Anolis sagrei: one gene and its partner. The protein of the gene in region 1 purifies or fractionates together with the protein of each later gene. This does not show direct contact. Links are inferred from orthologs where the notes say so. Each region holds a gene or a part of one and is shown in the gene's direction. Other genes may lie near its edges.

Region 1 (6,999 bases):
AGTATCTGGCCACTTGGAGTGCCTCTAGTGTTGGTGCAAGAAGGTCCTCCATTGTGCATGTGGCGGGGTTCAGGGTGCATTGCAGCAGATGGTCAGTGGTTTGCTCTTCTCCACACTCGCATGCCGAGGATTCCACTTTGTGGCCCCATTTCTGAAGGTTGGTTCTGCATCTCATGGTGCCAGAGCGCAGTCTGTTCAGCGCCTTCCAAGTCGCCCAGTCTTCTGTGTGCCCAGGGGGGAGTCTCTCATTTGGTATCAGCCATTAATTGAGGTGCTGGGTTTGAGCCTGCCACTTTTGGACTCTCACTTGCTGGGGTGTTCCAGCAAGTGTCTCTGTAGATCTTAGAAAACTATTTTTAGATTTAAGTCGTTGACGTGCTGGCTGATACCCAAACAGGGGATGAGTTGGAGATATCTCTGCCTTGGTCCTTTCACTATTGGCTGCTACTTCCCAGCGGATGACAGGTGGTGCAATATCGGCTAAGCAGTGTAATTTCAGCCAGTGGTGGAGGGCGCAGACACCCCGTGATAATGCGGCATGTCTCATTAAGAGCCACATCCACTGTTTTAGCGTGGTGAGATGTGTTCCACACTGGGCATGCGTACTCAGCAGCAGAGTAGCACAGCGCAAGGGCAGATATCTTCACTTTGTCTGGTTGTGATCCCCAGGTTGTGCCAGTCAGCTTTCGTATATTATTTCTAGCGCTCACTTTTTGCTTGATGTTCAGGCAGTGCTTCTTGTAGGTCAGGCAGTGCTTCTTGTAGATGTGGGTGAAACATCAGGAGAGAATGCTTCTGGAACATGGTCATGTTGTTCATTCGTTCAGTCGTCTCTGACTCTTTGTGACCTCATGGACCAGCCCACGCCAGAGCTCCCTGTCAGCCGTCACGACTCCCAGCTCCTTCAAGGTCAGTCCAGTCACTTCAAGGATGCCGTCCATCCATCTTGCCCTTGGTCGGCCCCTCTTCCTTTTGCCTTCCACTTTCCCCGGCATAATTGTCTTCTCTAGGCTTTGCTGTCTCCTCATGATGTGGCCAAAGTACTTCAACTTTGTCTCTAGTATCCTTCCCTCCAATGAGCAGTCGGGCTTTATTTCCTGGAGGATGGACTGGTTGGATCTTCTCGCAGTCCAAGGCACTCTCAGAACTTTTCTCCAACACCACAGTTCAGAAGCATCGATCTTCCTTCGCTCAGCCTTCCCTAAAGTCCAGCTCTCACATCCGTAGGTGACTACAGGGAATACCATGGCTTTGACTATGCGGATCTTTGTTGCCAGTCTGATGTCTCTACTCTTTACTATTTTATCGAGACTGGACATTGCTCTCCTCTCAAGAAGTAAGCGTCTTCTGATTTCCTGGCCACAGTCTGCATCTGCCGTAATCTTTGCACCTAGACATACAAAGTCTGTCACGGCCTCCACATTTTCTCCCTCTATTTCCCAGTTGTCAATCATTCTTGTTGCCATAATCTTGGGTTTTTTGACGTTTAGCTGCAACCCAGCTTTTGCGCTTTCTTCTTTCACCTTGATTAGAAGGCTCCTCGGCTCCTCCTCACTTTTGGCCATCAGAGTGGTGTCATCTGCATATCTAAGGTTGTTAATGTTTCTTCCAGCAATTTTCACCCCAGCCTTGCATTCATCAAGCCCCGCACATTGCATGATGTGTTCTGTATGCAAGTTAAATAGATTGGGGGAGAGTATACAACCCTGCCATACTCCTTTCCCAATCTTGAACCAGTCTGTTGTTCCATGGTCAGTTCTGACTGTTGCTCCTTGGTCCTTATACAGATTCTTCAGGAGAGAGACAAGGTGGCTTGGTATGCCCATCCCACCAAGAACTTGCCATAATGTATTATAATCCACACAGTCAAAGGCTTTAGAGTAGTCAATGAAGCAGAAGTAGATGTTTTTCTGAAACTCCCTGCCTTTCTCCATTATCCAGCGGATATTGGCAATCTGGTCTCTGGTTCCTCTGCCTTTTCTAAACCCAGCTTGAACGTCTGGCAACTCTTGCTCCATGTATTGCTGGAGTCTTCCTTGCAGGATCTTGAGCATTCCCTTACTGGCATGAGAAATAAGGGCCACTGTACGGAAGTTTGAGCAGTCTTTCGCATTTCCCTTTTTTGGTATGGAGATATAAGTCGATTTTTTCCAGTCTGATGGCCATTCTTGTGTTTCCCATATTTGCTGGAACATGGTCATACAGCCCAGAAAACTCACAGCAACCCATTTTTCATGATAATTTCTCTTCATAAGGTTTAGCCTTCTCGGTGTGAAATACCACTTTCAAATTAATTTAGAATCATTTCCTTTCATTCTAATTGACATGTTTTAATGGTCTTGCTTTCCATATCCATTCCCATTCTTTGTTGTTTTTATTCTTACTTCTTCCTCCCAGAATTCTCTTAATGTTAGTTTTTTGTCGCCCCCCCCCTTCCTGTATCCTTAATTAATATAAAATGATAACTATGATAACAATGATAACAATGATAACAAGCTACCTATCTGACCGCATCTCTGCCTATGAACCCACCAGGACTTTGAGATCTTCCAGGGAGGCCCTGCTCTCGATCCCACCTGCTTCTCAAGCTCGGCTGGCGGGGACGAGAGATAGGGCCTTCTCGGTGGTGGCTCCTCGGCTGTGGAACGCCCTTCCTACGGACATTAGACTAGCACCATCTCTAATGGTATTCTACAAAAAAGTGAAGACCTGGCTGTTTGAGCAGGTGTTCCAATAATTAGTGCAATGATTGGTTAATGAACACTGGAATGGAACAATGGATGACGAATCTGGAACATGTTTTTGATGACGAGACGACAGTGAACGGGTACTGTAGTAACTGTTTATTAATTGTGTAATGTGTTAGGTTGTTAACTGTTTCTATACTGTTTTGTTGTTCATTCGTTCAGTTGTCTCCGACTCTTCGTGACCTCATGGACCAGCCCACGCCAGAGCTCCCTGTCGGCCGTCACCACCCCCAGCTCCTTCAAGGTCAGTCCAGTCACTTCAAGGATGCCGTCCATCCATCTTGCCCTTGGTCGGCCCCTCTTCCTTTTGCCTTCCACTTTCCCCGGCATAATTGTCTTCTCCAGGCTTTGCTGTCTCCTCATGATGTGGCCAAAGTACTTCAACTTTGTCTCTAGTATCCTTCCTTCCAGTGAGCAGCCGGGCTTTATTTCCTGGAGGATGGACTGGTTGGATCTTCTCGCAGTCCAAGGCACTCTCGGAGCTTTCCTCCAGCACCACAGCTCAAAAGCATCGATCTTCCTTCGCTCAGCCTTCCCTAAGGTCCATCTCTCACATCCGTAGGTGACTACAGGGAATACCATGGCTTTGACTAGGCAATGGATCTTGGTTGCCAGTCTGATGTCTCTACTCTTTACTATTTTATCGAGACTGGACATTGCTCTCCTCCCAAGAAGTAAGCGTCTTCTGATTTCCTGGCCACAGTCTCCATCTGCAGTAATCTTTGCACCTAGAAATACAAAGTCTGTCATGGCCTTCACATTTTCTCCCTCTATTTCCCAGTTGTCAATCATTCTATACTGTAGCACTGAATATTTGCTGTTCGTATTTGTTGTGAACCGCTGTGAGTCGCCTTCGGGCTGAGAACAGCGGTATATAAGTAAGATAAATAAATAAATAAATAAATAAATAAACTAGTCAAACTAATCAGAAAGTATTTACAGAGTGTTCCTTGCAAGGCCTCTTGTGTTTTGTCCCTCCCTCTGCCCACTGGGCCTCTCAAAATGGCCGCCCCCTCCATTGGCCCTTCCCAAGATGGCGCCTCCTCTGCCAGGAGAGTCGGGAGGAAAAGGCAAAAATGCCTCTCGCCCTTCTCAAGATGGAGGCGCACAGTTCTGACGTCTCCAAGATGGCGGAACGCAGCTTGGGCGGACCTTCTACCCGTCGGCCCCTGCGCTGCCTTACTCACGCCGTGCGCGACGCCTGGAGGCGCAGTGCATGCTGGGATTAAGGCGACCGCCGGCGAGTGAGGCGCAAAAAAAGAAGTCCTGTCGGTTCGGACTCGGGAAGCGGCGCGAGGATGCCTCCGGACCTGGCCGTGGAGCGGGTGGTGGTCCACCCCCTGGTGCTGCTCAGCGTCGTCGACCATTTCAACCGGTGAGAGAGCCTCAGGGGGGGAAAAGAGGCGGAAGGGCTGAGTCACGGCCCTCAAGTAGCATTTCCCTCAGGCCTGGTCCAGCTTGGGCCTTATTATTATCATTATTATTATTATAGCATCTCCCGAGGGATTCGATGCGGCTTACACAGGCCAAAGCCTCAAAAAACACAATACAACAATACAATAACCAAGCAAATTAAAAACAGTTAAGCAGGAAAACAATAACAGTGACAATACAACAAAACACTATTAAAACTGGGCCGGCCAAAATAGGGGTACAGGGTTAAAAGTGCTGATGTGGCAGGAGGGATGTTGGGTTAAATATAAGTGCGGTGTGCAGTGATCTTGGTTCTACTAAGGTGCTTCTAGGATTTGGTACTGGAGGTTCCTAATCTGAAAAGGCACATCGGAACAGCCAGGTTTTCAGTTCCTTCCTGAAGACTGCCAGCGTAGGGGCTTGTCTAAGATCTTTCGGGAGGGCGTTCCAGAGTCGGGGGGCCACTACAGAAAAGGCCCTGTCTTGTGTCCCCACCAAGCACGCTTGCGACGCAGGCAGGATCACGAGCAGGGCCTCTCCAGATGACCGTAGTGAGCGTGTGGGTTCGTAGACAGCGATGCGGTCACGCAGGTAGGGTGGTCCCAAACCGTTCAGGGCTTTGTAGGTGAGCACCTGCACCTTAAATTGGGCTCGGATTGGGCCAGGGGTTTTGGACTCCAATTCCCACAATTCCTGACAGCCTACGGGCTGCAGACAGGGTTACAGCCTGTGTTAGACGGGGTTCCACTCCCCCTGAAGGCGCAGGTTATTATTATTAATAATAATTATTATTAAACTTTATTTGTACCCTGCTAGCATCTCTCGAAGGACTCGATGCGACTTACAAAGGCCAAGGCCTCAACACACAGCATAACAGTACAAAACCTAAGGCAAATTAAAAACAATTAAAGCAATATAAACAACAAGCAATAAACAATACACTAAGACACAATAAAACTGGGCCGGGCCAGAGTAATGGGTACAGGATTAAAAGTGCTGATGTGACAGGAGGTATGTAGGATTATAGGGCAAGTGCAGTGTGCGGTGTGCAACAATCTTAGTTTTAATAAAGTGCTTCTGGGACTTGGTATTGGAGATTTCCTATTCTGGGAAGGCAGATCGGAACAGCCAGGTCTTCAAGTTCATTCTGAAGACTGCCAGTGTAGGGGCCTGTCTAAGATCTTTCGCAGCTTGGGAGTGATCCTGGACTCATAGCTGAGCCTGGAACCCCAGGTCTCGGCAGTGGCCAGGAGAGCTTTTGCACAATTAAAACTTGTACACCAGCTGCGCCTGTACCTTGGGAAGTCGGATCTGGCCACGGTGGTCCACACTCTTGTTACATCCTGGATAGATTACCGCAACACACTCTACGTGGGGTTGCCTTTGAAGACTGTTCAGAAACTTCAATTAGTCCAGCGGGCGGCAGCCAGATTACTCACCGGAGCATCATACAGGGAGCACACCCCCCCCCCCCTGTTATGTCAGCTCCACTGGCTGCCAATCCAGTTCCAAACACAATTCAAAGTGCTGGTTTTGACCTACAAAACCCTTTGCGGCTCCGGCCCAGTGTACCTGTGTGAACGTATCTCCTTCTATGTCCCACCTTGGAGTTTATTATTTATTATTATTATTATTAGATGAACAAAATCTGGCTACCAGTATTAAAAAACTCAAAAATTACAACAGCAAAACAACAGAGGGGAAACAAACAGGCACATAAAATCACTCTCAACAAGAGATTCCCCCCAGGTGATTCCAGGCCATTGAATGCAAATCAAGGTGATCAGCTGAAACATTACCCTGGTCATTCCACAGATCTATAAACCCATTTTTCCTACCTCCAACAGACCTCACTACCTCTGAGGATGCTTGCCATAGATGCAGGCGAAGCGTCAGGAGAAAAATTGCCTCCAGAACATGGCCATATAGCCCAGAAAAACCTACAACCCATTATTAACTTTATTTGTACCCCGCTAGCATCTCCCGAGCCCCTGGTGGCGCAGTGGGTTAAAGCACTGAGCTGCCGAGCTTGTTGACCGAAAGGTCGCATGTTCGATTCCGGGGAGCGTTGTGAGCTTCCACTGTCAGCCCTAGCTTCTGCCAACCTAGCAGTTCGAAAACATGCAAATGTGAGTAGATCAATAGGTACCGCTCCAGCGGGAAGGTAACGGCGCTCCATGCAGTCATGCCGGCCACATGATCTTGTAGGTGTCTACGGACAACGCTGGCTCTTCGGCTTAGAAATGGAGATGAGCACCACACCCCAGAGTCAGACATGACTGGACTTAATGTCAGGGGACTACCTTTACCTTTACTAGCATCTCCCGAAGGACTCAATGCGGCTTACAAAGGCCAAGGCCTCAATACACAACATAACAATACAAAACCTAAAGCAAATGAAAAACAATTAAAGCAATATTAAACAACAAAACAATAAACAATACACCAAAATGCAATAAAACTGGGCCGGGCCAGAGTAATGGGTACAGAATTAAAAGTGCTGATGTGACATGTGGTATATAAGGCTTATAGGGTAAGTGCAGTGTGCGGCAATTTTAGTTCTAATAAAGTGCTTCTGGGACTTGGTATTGGAGATTTCCTATTCTGGGAAGGCACATCGGAACAGCCAGGTCTTCAAGTTCTTTCTGAAGACTGCCAATGTAGGGGCCTGTCTAAGATCTTTGGTGAGGGTGTTCCAGAGTCGGTGGGCCACCACAGAAAAGGCCCTGTCTCGTGTCCCTACCAAACGCGCTTGCGACACAGGCGGGATCACGAGCAGGGCCTCTCCAGATGACCGAAGTGAACACTTGGGTTCATTTAAGATCTTCCGGGGAGGCCC
Region 2 (7,397 bases), on another chromosome or scaffold:
TTCTGTTAATCCCACAAACAAACATTACATTTTTATTTATATAGACTAGCTTATGTACCTGGCGATGCCCAGATTGGGCTTTTGTAAAGATAAACTTTAGAACTGGTCATTATTTGGCTTTGGGTTTTATGAATGGACCCACTGCAAAGTGTGCAAGGATATGAGTGAAGTACAACTCCCATCATTCGGCATCAGTTTGCCCCGCTTACTAATATTTACAGCTCAGCCGTTCTCAACCTGGGGGTCGCGACCACCAGGGGGGTCATTTGGCCATTTAGGAGGGGTCATAAAGCTATCTCCTTTGGCCGCACCCCCTTCACCTGCTCAAACTGGCCGCCTCCCTTGATGGCTTTTGCTGCGTGCCGGCCGACAGGGGTGCGAGCAAGGCGAAGGCTCCACACAAGGCACAGGAACAGAATTCAAAACGATCTTGACAGATTAGAGAGATGGGCCAAAACTAACAAAATGAAGTTCAACAGGGACAAATGCAAGATACTCCACTTAGGCAGAAAAAACAAAATGCAAAGATACAGAATGGGGGACAATGCCTGGCTCGAGAGCAGTACGTGTGAAAAAGATCTTGGAGTCCTCGTGGACAACAAGTTAAACATGAGCCAGGAATGTGATGTGGCGGCAAAAAAAGCCAATGGGATTTTGGCCTGCATCAATAGGAGCCTAGTGTCTAGATCTAGGGAAGTCACACTACCCCTCTATTCTGCTTTGGTTAGACCACACCTGGAATATTGTGTCCAATTCTGGGCACCACAATTCAAGAGAGATATTGACAAGCTGGAATGTGTCCAGAGGAGGGCGACTAAAATGATCAAGGGTCTGGAGAACAAGTCCTATGAGGAGCGGCTTAAGGAGCTGGGCATGTTTAGCCTGAAGAAGAGAAGGCTGAGAGGAGATATGATATCCATGTATAAATATGTGAGAGGAAGCCACAGGGAGGAGGGAGCAAGCTTGTTTTCTGCTTCCTTGGAGACTAGGACGCAATGGAACAATGGCTTCAAACTACAAGAGAGGAGATTCCAACTGAACATTAGGAAGAACTTCCTGACTGGGAGAGCCGTTCAGCAGTGGAACTCTCTGCCCCGGAGTGTGGTGGAGGCTCCTTCTTTGGAAGCTTTTAAACAGGGGCTGGATGGTCATCTGTCAGGGGTGATTTGAATGCAATATTCCTGCTTCTTGGCAGAATGGGGTTGGACTGGATGGCCCAGGAGGTCTCTTCCAACTCTTTGATTCTATGATTCTAAGGCCTGGCCTTGTGCGGAGCATCCTTCACCTGTCTTTCACCACATGCCAAGCCAGCACGGCCACGAGCCAGGCAAGGGCTTCACACAAGGCCTGGCCTTGTGCGAAGCCTCCCTTGCCTGGCTCTCTCCGTTTGCTGGCTGGTGGGGCCCCGAGCCAGACGAAGGCTCCTTAAAAGGCTAGGCCACGTGGTGGAACCTCCATTGCCAGGCTCTCACTGCCTGCTGGGCTCAGCAATGGCGTGAGCCTCCCCGCCAGACCCGGGCCCCTCCAGAATGCTCCAAGCAACTGCAACTCCCAAATGTCAAGGTATTTATATTTTCCCCAATATTTTCTGTTGGTCATGGGAGTTCTGTATGCCAGGTTTGGTTCAATTCCATGGTTGTTGGAGTTCAGAATGCTCTTTAATGGCAGGGGAACTATAACTCCAAGCAACTGCAACTCTCAAATGTCAATATGTATTTCACCCAAACTTCTCCAGTATTTTCTGTTGGTCATAGGATAATAATTAGATTTAGCTAAAACTAAGCAGCTAACTAACCACTACAACAGTGTTTCTCAACCTGGGGGTCGGGACCCCTGGGGGGGGTTGCGATGGGGTGTTGGAGGGGTTGCCAAAGATCATCAGGATACACAGTATTTTCTGCTGGTCATGCAAGTTCTGTGTGGGAAGTCTGGCCCAATTCTATCGTTGGTGGGGTTCAGAATGCTCTCTGATTGTAGGTGAACTATAAATCCCAGCAATTACAACTCCCAAATGTCAAGGTCTATTTTCCCCAAACTCCCAACAGAGTTCACATTTGGGCATATTGAGTATTCGTGCCAAGTTTAGTCCAGATCTATCATTGTTTGAGTCCACAGTGCTTTCTGGAGATAGGTGAACTACAACTCCCAAACTCAAGGCCAATGCTCACCTAACCCTTTCATTATTTTTTTGCTGGTCATGGGCGTTCTGTGTGCCAAGATTGGGTCAATTCCATCTCTGGTGTAGTTCAGAATGTTCTTTGATTGTAGGTGAACTATAAATCCCAGCAACTACAACTCCCAAGGTCCAGAGAATGAAAATACATTCACCTGTCAGATATTTACATGACAATTCATAACAATAGCAAAATTCCAGTTATGAAGTAGCAACAAAAATAATTTTAGGGTTGGGGGTCATCACAACATGAGGAACTATACAAAGGGGTCGCAGTGTTAGGAAGGTTGAGAACCACTGCTCTACAACTTACAACAAAACTACATCAAGTGAACATATACAACAAAATTACATACAGCTGTTAGGAACTCTGTGAGTTGAAGTCCAAAACACCGGATGGGCCAAAGTTTGCCAATGCCTAGTGTATTGCATAAAGAAAAGCAAGAAAATACTACTTTCATGTTTGTTTATTGTGCAAGAGAATATATCCTATTGCTCCTTTTGGAATCAAATATTGTATAATGGTATGCATGATAGAAAAAGAGTGCACATTTTGCCAGGATTAGGCCCCACAAGTCTCTGTTTGAAATAGGCACATGTTTCTGGTGCCTTGCGAAAGAATGTCTCTTCAGCCGGGGGCCTGGTGCATCTCCCGCCGCCTCCGATACTCTTCCGCTTGCTTCTTCTGGTGCTCCTTCATGCATTCCTTGAAGCCCTGCACTTGTGGCTGGCATTTCCTCCAGTCTTGGTGCTCCGCCATGCACTCCTGCACTGCGTAGTGGAAAGAGGCGCATCCGGTGCGGGCAATCATGCTGTCAAAAGCATCCTCCTCGCCTTCCTCCTCTTCTTTCGGTTTCCGGCTCCAATTGTGACCAGGGGGCTTGGCACCGGACATACTATGGAATCTGGAGGACACAATAAAAGTTATTAATCATCACCAACCACACTCTGTAACATGATTTTTGTTCCTAATTTCATAATTGGTTCTATCATAAAAACATGGAGAAAGTTTATAAAACTGCTAAAACTTTGTTTCTGCGGGAGGGACATCCTGCAGCAGCACATTTTGCTCTAGTTTTCCAGTGGATCTCATAGCATCTCAACCAATTCAACCTCAAAAAAGTTTCTGGAGTAGAATTACTAATTTCAAAGTAAGGGCCACACAACTAAACAGGAAATAATAACACGTTCAAACCAGGAACAGAAACGTTTTCAAATTTTGTACATAGTGTGATAATAATAATTCTCTCCTTCACTCACTCTGTCTTTATATAGGCACATTCAAGCTATCTGTCAGGTTATGGTATATTTTATATACATATAATATTTATAATATTTTAATGTAATACAATATAATACTAGTAAAAATAATTCCAATTTTGTGCCATCTACAAATCTGATTAGCATTGGCTTGTAAGTTTTCTGGGCTGTCCGGCCATGTTCCAGAAGCATTCTCTCCTGACGTTTCGCCTGCATCTATGGCAGGCATACAATATAATACTAGTAATAATAATTCCAATTTTGTGCCATCTACAAATCTGATTAGCATTGGCTTGTAAGTTTTCCGGGCTGTCTGGCCATGTTCCAGAAGCATTCTCTCCTGACGTTTCGCCTGCATCTATGGCAGGCATACAATATAATACTAGTAATAATAATTCCAATTTTGTGCCATCTACAAATCTGATTAGCATTGGCTTGTAAGTTTTCCGGGCTGTCTGGCCATGTTCCAGAAGCATTCTCTCCTGACGTTTCGCCTGCATCTATAGATGCAGGCGAAACGTCAGGAGAGAATGCTTCTGGAACATGGCCAGACAGCCCGGAAAACTCACAGCAACCCAGTGAAATCCGGCCATGAAAGCCTTCGACAAAACACTGATCAGCATTTCTATTTAAAAGCATTATTTCCCAATCTTTGCTCCTCCAGGGCTTTTGGACTTCATCCCCCAGAATCCCTCCTTATTGTCCGCATCAGCTGAGGCTTCTGGGAAATGAAGTCCTGGAATAAGAGCGCTTGGGAGCCACGGTCCCTTTAAGCCTTAAAGGGACAGGAGCCCCTTTTCGGCCTTCTTGATTTGGCTGAAAGCCGCTCTCACCTTCCCTTCTTCTAGACTCAGCCGTGAGCGGAAACACTGCGGGGACTACTTCCGGGGTGGGGCTTTCCGTGACCAAGATGGCGGACGCCGCTTCGCAAGGCTTTTCCTCCGCTGCCGCCGTGGTCCGGATCCAGAGCGACTGGGACCAAGTCCTGAGGTGAGCCAGGAGGGGAGTAAGCCACGCCCCTTGGTCACAAGCCCCTCCCACCCAGGGAGGGCGCTCTGCCTAAAATGCTCCCTGTGTGCGTCGATTCTATCCTTCCCCCGGAATTGAGTGCTCCTGACACAAGGTTCCGGCCTCTTTTATACCCTCCTTTTTATTATTATTCGTTTTCTTTTTTCAGTTCTTTAAAGCTCTCAAACCTTATAATAATCCTGGGCCATTTGAAATTAGGTCACAGTCTAAAATAATATAAACATATACAGGGTTAGTCAAAATGCATAGGCCAATAAGCCATTCAATTGAATGGCTTGTATATATATTTGTCGTGCCAGGAGCGACTTGAGAAACTGCAAGTCGCTTCTGGTGTGAGAGAATTGGCCGTCTACAAGGATGTTGCCCAGGAGACGCCCGGATGATTTGATGTTTTTATCATCCTTGTGGGAGGCTTCTCTCATGTCCCCCGCATGAGGAGCTAGAGCTGACAGAGGGAGCTCATCCACCTCTCCCCGGATTCGAACCTGCAACCTGTCGGTCTTCAGTCCTGCCGGCACAGGGGTTTAACCCACTGCGCCACCGGGGCTCCACAAATAATATTATCATCCGATTATTGTGTCCAATTCTGGGCACCACAATTGAAGAGAAATATTGACAAGCTGGAATGTGTCCAGAGGAGGGCGACTAAAATGATCAAGGGTCTGGAGAACAAGCCCTATGAGGAGCGGCTTAAGAAGCTGGGCATGTTTAGCCTGAAGAAGAGAAGGCCGAGAGAAGATATGATAACCATTTATAAATATGTGAGAGGAAGCCACAGGGAGGAGGAGGGAGCAAGCTTGTTTTCCGCTTCCTTGGAGACTAGGACGCAATGGAACAATGGCTTCAAACTACAAGAGAGGAGATTCCATCTGAACATGAGGAAGAACTTCCTGACTGTGAGAGCCATTCAGCAGTGGAACTCTCTGCCCCGGAGTGTGGTGGAGGCTCCTTCTTTGGAAGCTTTTAAACAGAGGCTGGATAGCCACCTGTCAGGGGTGATTTGAATGCAATATTCCTACTTCTTGGCAGAAAGGGGTTGGACTGGATGGCCCAGGAGGTCTCTTCCAACTCTTTGATTCTATGAAATGTTGTAATTTATGAATTTGTTTTATACGGGTTAGGAACTGTGTAGTCTGTTTCTTTTTGTCGAATTTTATGTTAGTAATTTCTGCTGCTTTTAACTCTGTATGCCACTTTGAATCCCACCCATGGCAGAAAATCAGGATGATGATGATGATAATGATAGTGTCAGAAAGATTTGTTTATCCTTAGCCCTAGGAGTCCTATTGTGATCCTTTATACTGGTCTTTTGTTGCCATTGTAGGAAGAACGAGGAAGAGGCTTGGCTGAGTTGCAGGAGCCCAGGTGAGCAGTCAAAGAAGCTGGAAGGGGCTGCAAGGAACATCTAGTCCAATCCTGTTCTGCCATGCAAGAATGGATAGCCACAGTGCTCCTGAAAGAGGCCCATCCAAAGTTGGTTTAAGGGCCTTCAAGAATGATCAATTCACCGACTTCTAAGGCAGTCTATTCTACTACTGAACAACTCTTATAGTTTTTTAACCATAGTATAACAGTCATGCTTATGCCTTTAATCAGGCTATGCAAAACATGGATTATATGGCAGTATAGATGCAGCCTTGGTTGCTTAATAGTGCTTCACTCATCTCCTCCTCTTCCTCCTTTTGTGTGTTATTGTGATCTAGGAAAAGCAACTCTGTATGGCACGTTGACCTGTCGGGGAATCAACTCAGATGGAATTCCTGAAATCACAGCCTCCGAAGGCTTCACTGTTAGCGAAATAACAAAGGTACTTTCACATAGAGTTGGAAGGGACCCCCCCCCCCCCCCCCGAGTCATCCAGTCCAACCCCTTTCTGCCAGGCAGGAAGACACAATCCAAGCTCTCCTGGCAGATGGTCATCGAGTCTCTGTTGAAAAGTTTCCAGAGGAGAATCCATAAGACTCCCAGGCAGCAGTATGGAGACCTTGTTGAAATTCAGTGTACCTCTTAAATTTGCAAAAAGATAATACAGCACAATAGTGAAGGGACAAGTTCCCTCTTTGGATTGGTTAATGGGTTGGTTGCCCTGCATCCAATGGATAAAATATTGTTTTCTGTTGTTCTGCTTCTTGGGATTGCTTACAGTGCTAGTGTGCTGCTTACCTATTATTGTTAAATTCCTTCAAAATACTCTTAATTGCTTTATTGCTCAAGACCATGAGAGGAGAGCCTTCCTTGCATGTCTGAATGTTTGCCTTATATGTTGGAAACCACCCTTTGTGTGAGTCCCTTTGTGGAGATACGGCGGTATACACATAATGTTTTATTATATTAGAATCATAGAATCCAGTCCAACCCCATTCTGCCAAGAAGCAGGAATATTGCATTCAAAGCACCCCTGACAGATGGCCATCCAGCCTCTGTTTAAAAGCTTCCAAAGAAGGAGCCTCCACCACACTCCGGGGCAGAGAGTTCCACTGCTGAATGGCTCTCACAGTCGGGAAGTTCTTCCTCATGTTCAGATGGAATCTCCTCTCTTGTAGTTTGAAGCCATTGTATTGTTGAAGGTTTTCATGGCCAGAATCACTGGATTGTTGTGAGTTTTTTGGGCTGTATGGCCATGTGAGAGGAAACCACAGGGAGGAGGGAGCAAGCTTGTTTTCTGCTTCCCTGGAGACTAGGACGCGGAACAATGGCTTCAAACTACAAGAGAGGAGATTCCATCTGAACATGAGGAAGAACTTCTTCCAACTCTTTGATTTTATGATTCTATGTTCCATGAGCATTCTCTCCTGACATTTCGTCTGCATCTATGGTAGGCATCGTAGTTTCCAACAGACCTCACAACCTCTTAGGATGCCTACCATAGATGGAGGCGAAACATCAGGAGAGAATGCTCATGGAACATGGCCATACATCTCGAAAAACTCACAAC

What was found. The genes of interacting proteins can lie anywhere in the genome.
Region 2: the proteins of PSMD7 (region 1) and PAAF1 purify together in Homo sapiens (affinity purification with mass spectrometry; 5 studies listed by BioGRID and IntAct, counting the BioPlex papers as one, with this or other methods). This does not show direct contact. The link is inferred for Anolis sagrei from reciprocal best matches to the Homo sapiens genes PSMD7 and PAAF1.

What each region holds. Positions count from the first base shown.
Region 1 is NC_090028.1:28,959,040-28,966,038, reverse strand, and holds the start of PSMD7 (26S proteasome non-ATPase regulatory subunit 7), read left to right. Parts: upstream 1-3,941; 5' UTR 3,942-4,045; coding exon 4,046-4,122; intron 4,123-6,999.
Region 2 is NC_090023.1:5,724,526-5,731,922, reverse strand, and holds the start of PAAF1 (proteasomal ATPase-associated factor 1), read left to right. Parts: upstream 1-4,339; 5' UTR 4,340-4,343; coding exon 4,344-4,423; intron 4,424-5,786; coding exon 5,787-5,827; intron 5,828-6,165; coding exon 6,166-6,269; intron 6,270-7,397. Other genes in the region: COA4 (cytochrome c oxidase assembly factor 4 homolog, mitochondrial), read right to left, coding at 2,802-3,068. UniProt on the Homo sapiens protein: Inhibits proteasome 26S assembly and proteolytic activity by impairing the association of the 19S regulatory complex with the 20S core.